Linked DNA regions of Arabidopsis thaliana. The protein of the gene in region 2 interacts with the protein of the main gene of each other region in a pairwise test. Each region holds a gene or a part of one and is shown on either strand. Other genes may lie near its edges. The genes, in order: PHOT2 and AT5G19150.

The links.
Region 1: the proteins of AT5G19150 (region 2) and PHOT2 interact in a two-hybrid assay, tested with the Arabidopsis thaliana proteins (one large-scale study listed by BioGRID).

Annotation. Positions count from the first base shown.
Region 1 is NC_003076.8:23,522,180-23,526,952, reverse strand, and holds the start of PHOT2 (phototropin 2), read right to left. Parts: upstream 3,129-4,773; 5' UTR 2,860-3,128; intron 2,824-2,859; exon of another isoform or gene 2,743-2,823; 5' UTR 2,408-2,742; exon of another isoform or gene 2,231-2,407; 5' UTR 2,183-2,230; coding exon 1,674-2,182; intron 1,551-1,673; coding exon 1,368-1,550; intron 1,287-1,367; coding exon 1,195-1,286; intron 1,069-1,194; coding exon 861-1,068; intron 459-860; coding exon 242-458; intron 80-241; coding exon 9-79; intron 1-8. Other genes in the region: ROS3 (RNA-binding (RRM/RBD/RNP motifs) family protein), read left to right, coding at 3,187-3,390, 3,525-3,704, 3,804-4,148, 4,246-4,773. UniProt on the Arabidopsis thaliana protein: Protein kinase that acts as a blue light photoreceptor in a signal-transduction pathway for photo-induced movements.
Region 2 is NC_003076.8:6,422,675-6,430,503, forward strand, and holds AT5G19150 (pfkB-like carbohydrate kinase family protein), read right to left. Parts: upstream 5,781-7,829; 5' UTR 5,729-5,780; coding exon 5,509-5,728; intron 5,379-5,508; coding exon 5,302-5,378; intron 5,219-5,301; coding exon 5,109-5,218; intron 5,014-5,108; coding exon 4,890-5,013; intron 4,793-4,889; coding exon 4,730-4,792; intron 4,633-4,729; coding exon 4,469-4,632; intron 4,334-4,468; coding exon 4,272-4,333; intron 4,193-4,271; coding exon 4,126-4,192; intron 4,014-4,125; coding exon 3,963-4,013; intron 3,859-3,962; coding exon 3,727-3,858; intron 3,634-3,726; coding exon 3,606-3,633; 3' UTR 3,531-3,605; exon of another isoform or gene 3,112-3,530; coding exon of another isoform or gene 3,082-3,111; intron 2,988-3,081; coding exon of another isoform or gene 2,878-2,987; intron 2,790-2,877; coding exon of another isoform or gene 2,669-2,789; intron 2,577-2,668; coding exon of another isoform or gene 2,336-2,576; intron 2,200-2,335; coding exon of another isoform or gene 2,105-2,199; intron 927-2,104; coding exon of another isoform or gene 724-926; exon of another isoform or gene 643-723; 3' UTR 631-642; downstream 1-630. Other genes in the region: AILP1 (aluminum induced protein with YGL and LRDR motifs), read left to right, coding at 724-926, 2,336-2,576, 2,669-2,789, 2,878-2,987, 3,082-3,111; AT5G19151 (uncharacterized protein), read left to right, coding at 5,898-6,060, 6,812-6,873. UniProt on the Arabidopsis thaliana protein: Catalyzes the dehydration of the S-form of NAD(P)HX at the expense of ATP, which is converted to ADP.

The DNA.
Region 1 (4,773 bases), about 17 Mb from region 2:
TCACATACCGACAATTTCTCCCCAATATTTCCTCGCGTGAATACTCTGTCAATTCAAGAAAGCTGTCTGATGCAAAGATCTGCAAATAAAACGATTTCCATTATCAATTCAAGATTATATGCTTACAAACATAGTAGAACACTTGAGTAAGAACAATCAATATATGAAATATACTCTACAATTGATACATTAAGGTTCGAGAAAAAAACGTTCATCTCAATTTTAGACAGAAAAAACATACAATGGGATTATCAGGGAGACGAGGATCACTGATGACGAAATTCTTCTCTATGCGCTCAAGAGTGGTAGCTAGATCAATCCCTTGGCGTATATCCCTTTCTCTATCCGATAGGTCCCAACTGTCCCTCTGCCCTATTACTTCTGTGCTCAACATCAATTCTTCGGGTTCCATACGTAAAAGATCTTCATGCCTGTTATTCGAGCTTTTGAGCTTTGACCTGCACATTACACGAAGCTAGATCAGAAATCCTTGAGTGTATATGTATACATATATATACACAGCTTCAGAATTCACTACCCAATCCATGTCAGAGGATACATTCTAAGGCCCAGCACAAAGTTACAAAAGTACACGAGAAATAAGAAACAGAACAATAGTAGGAGATTGCAACTGCATCTTCGTATTCGAATGGAAATTATCTATGAGTTAAATATTGACTAACACAACAACTAGATTGAGATTGTGTAGTATATATTTTACCACTATTTGGCAATGATAATAGCAAGTTGTTTCTGCAAAACTTTGGCACTGCCATCACACTTTTTGGGCAATATATATGCCTTATTTTATGTTCAGGAAGACTACTGTAATCTGGTGGTTAGTGGTTACGAAGACTCACCCCGTTGGAGTAGAAACACGTCCAGGTGTCCTGAAAGACTTTGAAGCCTCATCTGACTGTCTTGTTTGTCTACCAGGTGTAGGTGTAGTAGAACTATCAGGCTTTACCATAGTGTCATTGCTCACGGATTCCTGAACTTGAGACTTACGATGTCTTATAGTTTGCACAACCTCTGTGATGGAATCCAAAGCTTTCTCCTTCTGGCGAGCTGATATCATCATCAAAACCATTACATGTTAAAGATTGTGGATCAGCACTCTTTGCTAAATTATATCATTGTTTTTGGCTAAAAAAAACTTGTTGAATTAACGAAGAGATGCAAAAAAACAGATACCATCATATCGAATCAAGGATTTGGAGAGTCCATTAGGCCTCAATGCTTTATCATTTACCCCTTCTGTGTATTTGCTAACTTCAACCTGCATCCTGCAGATGGAAATGTGAAAATGATTGATCGAGGGACAGTCGATTAATTAGGGAAAAACAGGGAGGAATTAAGGGACGTACCCAATGAACTTGATGGTATTGCCCTGGTCGTCCTTGATAGGAGTGACTGTGAGAAGATTCCAGAAGGGAGTTCCGTCCTTTTTGTAGTTTAACAGCCTTCCACAGTAACTTTTTCCATTCTTGACACAATCTCTGATTTTGGCAACCTCATTCTTGTCGGTGTCTGGCCCTTGCAGAAACCGGCTGGCGTTTTACCCACAAAGATTAAGAGCATTTCAGAGTAAGTTGGCATGGGTTTCAAAAGCAATATTATTCTAACTAATAACTGGGAATGAAACTAGAAGCAAGATACGAGATGAGCAGTACCAGTTTCTTCCAACAATTTCCTTGGAAGAATAACCAGTCATGGTAAAGAATCCACTGCTGGCATAGACTATGGGACAGTGAGGCTGTGTAGCGTCAGAGACAACAAAAGTCTGCTGCAACGTGGATAGAGCAGTTTTGAGCTCCTGGGATACTCTAGGGAAGGCCCCTGATTCAGAAGATGTAGATTCTTCGGATGACCTCCTAGACATGTTCTTGCTTCGTTCCACTTCACTGGACAGCTTGAAACTAATGCCATCGTCTCCCGAATCCGGCTTAACAGCTGACAATCCCCATTCAGCGGTTCTTTCTGTAATCTTAGCGGAATCTTGAAACTCCATCCACTTACTACTACTACCTTTGTTGTTGCCATCAAGAGGAGGCTTTGAAGAAGAAGAAGTTGATCCATGTGTCTCTTTTCCACTCGAAGGGTTGAAAATCTCAAGAGATCTACGTTCACTTAATGACTCCGCATCATTCAAAGGAGATGGAGGGGCTCTTGGCCTCTCCATAACGTTTCTTTATTCTCTTTCTTATGGCGAAACAGAGTAATGAATAGTCTGCAAATCAAAACCAGACACCACATAGACAAGTTAGATAGAAAGAAGAGGCAGACACAACTGTAGGTTCGAGAAACAAAGTAATAAATGCCATTAAAAGTCTTTAGAAGCAAATCAACAAAACACGTTAAAGAAGGTGAAGTAGATAAAATAAATGAAAAATATATATATACCAACCAGAGTAGCTTTATCAGCTGCAACTCATGGAAATATAGTACACAGTCTTTAAAAGGAGCAAAGACGATGAGAAAGATAGAGAGATAGACCAATTAAAAAACACAACTGTACTGTTTCCAAAACCCAGTTATATTATTATTTGAGTTATTTTAAAAAGACAATCATGTTTCTGAGGCTGCAAATGAGCGATGCGGAAGCCTGGGAGGATAGACATCGCTATCAATAATCAAACTCACATGGACCCTTTTTCACCCTCAAGGTCAAGGACCACACAACTCTGTTTCCTCTTAATACGTGCACTCTTGTTCATCATTCCCTCTTCTTTCACAAATTTTCTTCATAATCAAACGAATTTATTACACCCCTCACATCAATTTTTCCAGTACAATAATTCAGACATGTTTCAATGTAAAATGAATAAACAATAAATAGATAAAACCCAGTAAACTTACGATTGTAGTAGAACAGAACATGCGCCATGATTTGATTAGACGAAAAATGAACACGTTTAAGAAAATGACTGTGGCTTCTTCTCTCCCAGATGCTTTCGCAGACGACGAATCCACAATTTGTTTCTTCTTTCACTGTCTGTTTCAAATAATGTCGATGAAATTAAAGAGAAGGGACCCCTAAAAACTTGTTAGGCCTTATTATTTTCCCGCTAAAAGCCCATTAAGTCCTAGTGGGTCTTCTCTAATGGGCCTTATTAGTTAAGATTAAGAAGTAAGGAAAGTGAGGGAGAGGCGAGGGAAAACTGAATCCAACTGAAGCAAGCAGCAATGGAGGAAAAAAGCAGCGGCGGCGGCGTTAGGCTTCACGTCGGCGGATTAGGAGAAAGCGTCGGGAGAGATGATCTTCTCAAGATATTCTCTCCGATGGGTACCGTCGATGCCGTCGAATTCGTCAGGACCAAAGGTCGTTCCTTTGCCTACATCGATTTCTCTCCATCTTCCACCAATTCACTCACCAAGCTCTTCTCTACAGTGAGTGAATTCGATCTCTCTCTCTCTCTCTCTCTCTCTCTCTCTCTCTCTCTCTCTCTCTCTCTCTCTCTCTCTCTCTCTCTCTCTCTCTCTCCTTACTCTTGTTATTCTTAACCCTAATTCGATTTTGGCAGTATAATGGATGTGTCTGGAAAGGAGGGAGGCTGAGACTGGAGAAAGCAAAAGAGCATTATCTAGCTCGCTTAAAGCGAGAGTGGGAGGCAGCGTCTTCTACCTCTGATAACACCATTAAAGCTCCCTCCGATTCACCACCTGCCACTCACCTTAACATCTTCTTTCCCAGACTCAGAAAGGTACTACTAATGCTCCTTCAAAGTTGTAACATTTATATGACATAGTTAGTACTAGGAGTAGTAAGAGATTAGGGTTTGAGCTACGTATGTGTGGTGCAGGTGAAACCTATGCCACTTAGTGGAACTGGTAAACATAAGTATAGCTTTCAGCGTGTTCCAGTGTCGTCTTCTCTTCCAAGGAGCTTTTGTGATTGTGAAGAGCACTCTAACAGCTCTCTCACTCCTCGGGAAATACATCTTCATGATCTGGAAGCGGTTAATGTGGGAAGACAAGAAGCCGAGGTGAATGTTATGAACTCGGTGATGAATAAGCTCTTTGAGAAAAACAATGTGGACCCCGAAGAAGACAATGAGATTGAAGCAGACCAAGATAACCTCATCATCAATGTGGCATCTAGTGGCAATGATATGGACTCAGCGCTGGATATGTTGTCTAGAAAACGGGTACGTAGTGCTACTTATATTTTTTCTATTATACTTAACCCAATAATGAGTCATCTACCTCATCCCTGATCTGGCTCTTTCTTTGATTGTAACTCAGAAATCAATTCTCAACAAAAAAACACCAAGTGAAGAAGGATATAGTGAAGGACGAAAAGGGAACCTTACTCATCCAAGCAAGAATAGGCAAACAATCAGCCTAGAGGAAACTGGAAGACAGGAATCTTCACAGGCCATACGTGGAAAGAAGAAGCCTTCTGAAGTGGTACCAGATAAATCATCGGATGAACCGAGCAGAACAAAAGATCTTGAGCAGTCAATCGACAATATTTCCTGGTCCCAAAAGTCTTCCTGGAAATCACTTATGGCAAATGGGAACAGCAATGATTTTAGTGTATCCAGTTTCTTGCCAGGTGTTGGCTCCAGTAAAGCAGTACAACCTGCACCACGCAACACTGATCTTGCTGGGCTTCCTAGCCGAGAAAATTTGAAGAAGAAGACGAAAAGAAAGCGTGTAACGTCTACAATCATGGCAGAGGATTTACCTGTATCAGATGACATAAAGAGGGATGATAGTGACACAATGGCAGATGACATAGAGAGGGATGATAGTGATGCTGTGGAATAT
Region 2 (7,829 bases):
GACCTCCATAAAAATTATTTTGAAATAGATTTTAGTCATTAGTTAAAATTGATCCCAATAAAATAATGACTAGCTCGGCCACTGCAAACAATATTACAATAGGGCGAAGTAATTGGTTAAAAAGTAAATACAATAAGTTGTAGAGTGTTAATAAACTAAAGTTGATGTTATTCTTTCTTTTTCATTTTTACGAAAAGTGGATGTTACCTTAAAAATGGTTACGTTAAATTTCAAATATAAATACATTTTAGGATTCGGTTTAAATAATTATAATTAGAATAATTTTTCAAATAAAACATTTTGATTTTTGAGAATTATTAAAAAGGAGGATGGATAAGACAAGAGACCACAAATGGCAAGATTGGTCCCACAATGTTAGAATCTAACGCTCCAGAATGATTCCATCTCTTCCGTGTGAGACCCACGTATTTGTGCTGCGTCACTGCCCATACGATGACGTATCGACGTTAATTTCAGTGTAATAAGAAGAAGAATCAAGAGAGAAGAAGATTCACAAAGACGAAATGACGTAAATACCCTCCATATCATCTCCTTCCCTTCCTATATTTAAACACCATCATACATCTCTCTCTCCTTTGTCTCGTCTTCCATGTCCGATATATCGTTACCAGAGAAAGAGAGCTCAGAGATTTAGTTAGCTTAATTTTTCTTTTCGTTTTGAAATTAAGGAAGTGATTGTTATCACCGGAGGAGAGAGAGAAAATGTTGGGAATTTTCAGTGGAGCTATAGTATCGCCGCCGGAAGAGTTAGTGGCTGCCGGAAGCAGAACTCCGTCGCCGAAAACAACCGGATCAACTTTAGTAAACCGGTTCGTCGAGAAAAATCCATCCGCTGTTTCTGTACAAGTCGGCGACTATGTTCAGCTTGCTTACAGCCATCACAACGAGAGTCCTCTCCGGCCTAGGTAAGTCTCGCCGGCGATTTTTCTTATGTTCATATCTATTAAAACTTGGCCTTTTACGATGGTCCCAAAGTTTCTACCGTCGGTTCGCTATGATCGGACGGTGATGAGATCATCGTCGAGCCTTTAAATTTCGCTGACAAATAAAAGTCAATTGCATATTTGCATGTATGGACCATATTTCATTTGATTTCGTCCGATTTTCTTATCTAATTTGTTTTAAGAAGATAGGGTATTAGTGAAAATTATCTAATTAGATACTAAATTTTGTAGATAATTTTTCTACTAGATTCCGAATTACATAATTGTGGTATTCTTTTCTTCAAAGCACTCCACTTAACTTAGGGTGATGTATGTTTGTGTTATGGTGTGTGGACCCAAACAATAATTTATAGAGTAAGTCCGAATAAAATTTTCTCAAATCATATATATCTTTTTAGAAATATGCATATACAAGGTACATCATAGGTAGCTTTATTGAAATGTACCGATCCAAATTTGTATGGATAATTCTTATTGGAAATTAAAAATGATAAATATTTATCCAAGTAAAGTTAGCTCATTGGTTAAAAAGGATTTCTTTCAATCTTCATGGAAACAAGATTTGAGTGAGATGATGTGAATAAACTAGAGATAATTTACATTAATTGTTACCTAGCAAACTTTGGACTGAAGATCCAAAATTTCTTTGATACCTCAAAATATAAATTTAGTAGTTGACTCTGTCGGTGACGGTGGTGGCACAAGGACACGTCTCAGAAGTTGTGTTAGTCACCAAAAGATTCACAAGCCTCTCATGACTCATTACTGAATTGGTCATGTACTTATGTCACTTAGAATCCGATCACAAAGAAAATATTAGCATAAGAATAATCAATATTAAAATTATACAGTCAAATTTATAAAATATAACCACAACCAATCAAACACCAAGATTCCGTATGTTGGCCATATTAAGTCCCAACCAACATTTTTTAAAACATAACTTCAACAATCACAACAATGACCGATCACTCAATCAAACAATAAATCGTGGCTAAATATTACATTTACAAATTTCTATATGGTTACAACTATAGGGACTGTATGTATTTTGGTTTTTGGATATGACCAAACTACAAAGACAACTTTGGTTGGTCCACCAAACCCTGCAATAAAATCCCACGACCATTAATAGCCTTATGCACAACACTCTATCTTTAGCTTTTACCCATATCAAGCATACCAATACATTCATAATTGCATGTCTATTTAAAGATTTGCTGCTGACTGATCGGTCTGACTATTCGCATTTATAACTTCAGTCAATTATTTGCAATACTATTCTCTATATTTTGCTCAAGTTCAGTTAATTTGGACTTTGTTGATATACATATAGGCTTGTCTTAAGATGTTTTTCTGAAATGATACAGATCATTTGGAGCTAAGGATGAAATATTCTGCTTGTTCCAAGGCTCACTTGACAACCTAGGAAGCTTGAAACAGCAGTACGGGCTTGCAAAAAACGCAAACGAGGTTCTCTTGGTCATCGAGGCTTATAAGACTCTCCGTGACAGAGCTCCTTACCCGGCTAACCACGTTGTTGCTCACCTAAGTGGCGATTTCGCCTTTGTGGTCTTTGATAAATCAACCTCCACTCTGTTTGTAGCCTCTGTAAGTTCTTTTAACCCCCTGATAAACACTTTTTAAACTGTGAAGTAGATTGAATCTAATGGTAACAAAAAACGGTGTTTGATTTGCTGCAGGACCAAGTTGGCAAGGTTCCATTGTATTGGGGAATAACAGCTGATGGCTATGTGGCATTTGCTGATGATGTTGACTTACTAAAAGGTGCTTGTGGCAAGTCTCTTGCGTCTTTCCCTCAAGGTTCGTTTTTCAGTTTTGTTTGTTCACTCCTAAATTCAAGATTTTTGGGGCATCACCCGCTCAATGGTTTTGTATGCGTGTTTTGCAGGCTGTTATTACTCGACGGCATTAGGTGGGCTTAGGAGCTTCGAGAACCCTAAGAACAAGATCACTGCAGTTCCTGCTAATGAGGGAGAAATTTGGGGAGCTACCTTCAAGGTGATTGATTCTTCAAAACTAAATCATATTTTAGTATTTTTGTTTAGCAACATCTAAAAAGCTTATATAACACAAACTTTGGTGGTGGGAACAGGTGGAAGGAGCAACAGTTCTTGCAGATTGAAAATGAAAGAGAAACACAAAAGAAGTTTCATGTCTCTTAAAGCTCTCGAACTGTAACAGCACAAACAAAAAAAAATATGTAGGAAAAACAAAAAGCTGTTCTATGAGTACTTGAAGCTATCAATGGTTGGTGATAATGTGTGTAGTGTTGTATCTCTCTTATGTCTTATGCTTCTTTGTACAGCACGTGTGTGTCTTCTGGTGTTATTAGTGTCTTCTTCCTAATAAGTTAATGTCTCTGAAACAAAAATCTACCTTCTCTTGATCCTTTTGCCTCTGTTTCTATAGTAAATCTCACAATGGTAATGAGGAAGAACAGGCGATATCTCTGTTTCTATCGTAATCTTTACTTGGTAATCACAGCATTCAAGTTTTATTATTCAGAAAAAACAATTGTGAGGTAAATAGACACAAGAGAACAGACACTTCTAAAGTTTCCCACAGACAATAAGATGTTGTAGAAGGCAAGACAACTCTACTTCATGTGTTCTGAGATTAAGATGCAGGGCAGATATCCTCCAAACTGTCGAAAAAAGTCGATAAAACATTATGATTGAGACGAAATGTTTTTGTGGATTCTCTAATGCAGCAGTTTCAGTAAGAAAGAAATCCATACCTCTCCCCTAAACATTCGATAATGTCGCTTGTGAGAGTTGATCTCTTATGTTTTGTAAAGGCCAGAGATGCAGCCTTTCTGAGAAGGCCAGATGCAGCTATGCATCCCAAGATAGCTGGATTCTCAGAGGGACTGAAATTTTGTTGGGTTTCAGAGATTGTCAAAACCACTTTGCACAGTCAATAATTGAGTTAGAAATGAAAGTTTGCGCAGAGCCAATATAGGATGTATCTAACCTTTCAGGATCGGATTTAAGCTGTTGTGCCCATGACAAAAACACTGCAACACTATATGAAACCAAATCCATTAGGCAGACTATCAGTGGCTACAAAAGTTGAACTTTTAACCGTGGTAACCCGAGCAATCTAATGATACTGGATCAAAGAGTGGTGAGCTCACCCTCCAGAGAGAATATCGCCTTGTCCACCACAGCGCCTTGGTGAACCATATATGCTTACTGATTTTACTACAAAAATAGAGATAATCACACCTCACGGTCTCAACGTCCTCTAACGGAAAGATACAATAGCTAAAAAGTTACTCACCTGTCTCCCCATTGCTTATAAGATCAGATTTCCCTTTCCTGAGAATCGTGACACCACCAATCCTGAATGACACAGACGAATAACATTATTATCACCAGAGTTTTTGGTTCCAAATCACCAGATGAGCCTGGTGATGTGTGTGTGAGATACTTCCATAGTGCCCTCTAGATGACCTATGAAGTCATTTTTGTACTTACTGTTTGGCCAAAGAACGTAACTGATCTTCAGCATTTTGTTCATCTACTTCACAATTCAGTACTTTTTGAACCAGGCGCTTATACTCATTCACATTTGGGGTTAAGACAGCAAGCGGATAGCTGTGGACAAGATCAATGGAATTTGTTACAAGAAACAGCCCGTCCTGCGGAATCGCCATAGTCAGAAGATTATACAATCAAAACTTGGAAAAAGACAAGAGCCTATCAAATCCTTACTTAATGCTATGTATCATTGCTTACCCCATCTATAACAAAAGGAACATTGGACTTTTTGGCAAGAAGCATGATAATACTCACACATTCCTGGAAATACAGAGTCACATAACTCGTAAGTCCACCACCAAAGTAATGACAAATCAAATTCTGTAATGTGATTAAGCAAGGGTAGATGAATCTTTACCAGGAGAAATGGATCTCTTCCCAAACCAGGACCAATAACAAGACAATCAAATCTTTCCATCCATTTACCGACTTCTCCAAGCACTTTATCTTGAACTTCTCTTTTATCTTCTTCACTGAGTTGACTATATACAGATATGAAACCGGGTATTGTAATAAAAACATACGGAACAAAACCACATAGTTAGAAGTAGCACACACTGTGGAATGGAGTATTCACCTGATGCTATATGATTCCTCAAGAACAGGGTGAACTATAAGCTCAGGACTATAGCTCTTTATAACAGGAGCTGCATCTTTCGTGCAGAATACATGAGACAAATCAGCACCCTACAGTTTTACAGATATGAAACCACTCTTCACTTTTATGTAGACAGAAGCAGTGATGGCTAATAGAAAACGAAACTACTAACGATTTTCAAAGCTGAAATGGCAGCGAAGTATGGAGCTCCTGTGTATTCACGACATCCTCCAATCACAGCTATCTTCCCTGACACAAGATCAATTCCAACACATGAGCTAAAACATCAAAGTAACCTGAAAAAACTCAAACTTTAAAATCCTAAAGTTTCGAATTTGATAAATTTCTGATGACACAATTGAATAGAGCAAGCACTAACCAGCTTGGCCTTTGTGTCGTTTGAGATCGAGCGATGGCGTCACGGTTCTAAGAACACTCTCAGCGTCGGCCTCTGATGTGGAACTCATTGCTCTGATGATTGGTGACCCACAAAGCGTTCGTACCAAGAACTCTTGCCTTCTGAGCACACTTGAAGAAGAAGAAGGTGAATGAGAAGTCAATCGTACCAAGCCAGAGATGATACTGGGCTTCACCAACATCAGATTCTCTCGTTGAGGGCCGAGAAAGCCACCGCTTCCGATACAGCACCGAGAAGTGAACTCTCTGTTTGGTTAAGAAGGTTTCGTTTTTATTTAATTATTTTATAGGAAAGAGGAAAAAAAAAGCAAACTTTTTCAGAGTCGGAGGTTTCAGACAGAGAGGAAGAAGATGAAGCGGACGGTGATGGACAACGCGATTCGATCATCGGTGGTGGTGTTGGGATCATTGGCCTTTGGTTACTTGTCACTGGAGCTTGGTTACAAGCCTTTCCTTGAAAAGGCTGAACAATACGAAAGATCTCTTCAGTCTTCTCAACAACATCAACAACAAGGTCTTGTGTTATCTCTCTCTCTCTCAATCGCTTGCTCTTAATTGTTCTGCTTCTGTTTCATTTCAGAAGAGATAGATTTATGCTGTGAGCGATTGATGGATTATCTATTTGACTTTGGAAGTTACCAATGTGTCTCGACCAATATCATGATGCGTTAGAGATTTTTGTGAAGATGCTAATCTGGTTTTACCGTTTTAGTAATTCAAAACCTGTCTTTGTTCGGATTCAAGTTAAAGTTTTCGAGAATTGGCACTAGTACAATAGAAAGTTTCAATCTTTTTACTCTACAGTCCTGAGATCTTGCTTCAGGTTCCGATTGGTTACAATGTATGATTGCAGAAATAAATTTATGGAGTGGATTGGTAGGAATCATTTATGGAGAAAAATCGCATAATGCTAGAACATAAATTGTGATTCACGTAAATGTGTGATTAGTGAAAACATGAGTTGCAGGGTGCTGATACGAGAAGATGATTGGCCGTTTAGAGTTTCTCTGAACTGAAAACTCTTTCTCTTTCAGTTTGTTACTAAATAGTGTGTTTTCTTGGATCAATGAGCATTGAGCCCTTTATGTTCTTAGTCATTGCATAATCCATGATAGAACTTTGAGTGTTCGCTATGTTTTTCTTACTCTCTATCTTGTGGATGAACCCTTATGTTCTTAGTCGTTGCGGAATCCATAGTCTTAAAAGTTCTAACTTACAGAACTTTGAGTGTTTATTAATGTTGTTCTTACTATCTGATCTTGTAGATGAACAAGAAGAAGCGAGGTGGGACAATAGCAATGTCGAGGGGTGGGAGGAGAAAAGGTAGTCTTATAATCGGTTTCAATACAGACATATCAAAGTGTGTAAGGAAGAAGAACCTTATCAAAATTTTCTTCTTAATCAACCGTAAGTTCAATCTGTTAACTATCAACCATGGCCTGTTTTTATCAATCACTCAAAATCATATCTCAGTATAGTACCGATTGCCTTAATCAGTTTGAAGTTACAAAACACTAGTGTTTAAGAACCATCCTTTATAAACAACCTAAAACAATCTCTGGTCTGTAAGAAAATGGCTTCACTGATGCAAACCTTGAACAATCGTGAGCTCCATTACCAGATGCAAATCACAAACAAAGGCCATTGTGACTGCTCTCTCAATCAAAGTTCATTGGCTGAAGTTGAACTGTGGCTGGAAGCACAAGAGGAAGCAACAACGTATCTGAGATCCATCCTCTCTTACACTGCTACTAGTACTTGGTTTTAGAGTCGGACCAAATCATTAAACAAATTTCTCTTGACATTATTTAAACAAAGCGTTTTAACGACCTTGGGAGTCTAATATGACAATTAAAGGTACTAATTTGATCTTGACCGGTACGCAACCTTTTCTCGGTTCTCACTCTCTGACTTTCATTGAATCTTGTCCCTAGACAAATAACATGTGATGTGTTCATGCTAATCTCCGCCATGGACGGCTTTAAGTCGGACTCTCGTCCTTCATTAATCTAATTACTCTTCTTTACTCATTAGAATATTCCTCCATCTAATTACTCATCAGTCACATATACACATTTTTGGACTAAAACGCTATTTTCGGTGCATGAACCAAACGCCTTAACCGTTTTAATGCGCACTAAAAAGTAACTAAAAGCTACGCCGTCTTTAGCCCCACTAATTTTGTCACGCGCCATGATCGCGCGTGTGACAAGTTTGGATCTACGGGACCCGCCACTTAAAAGGACCCCACGATTCACACTCTCCAAGTCTCTCCCTTTACGA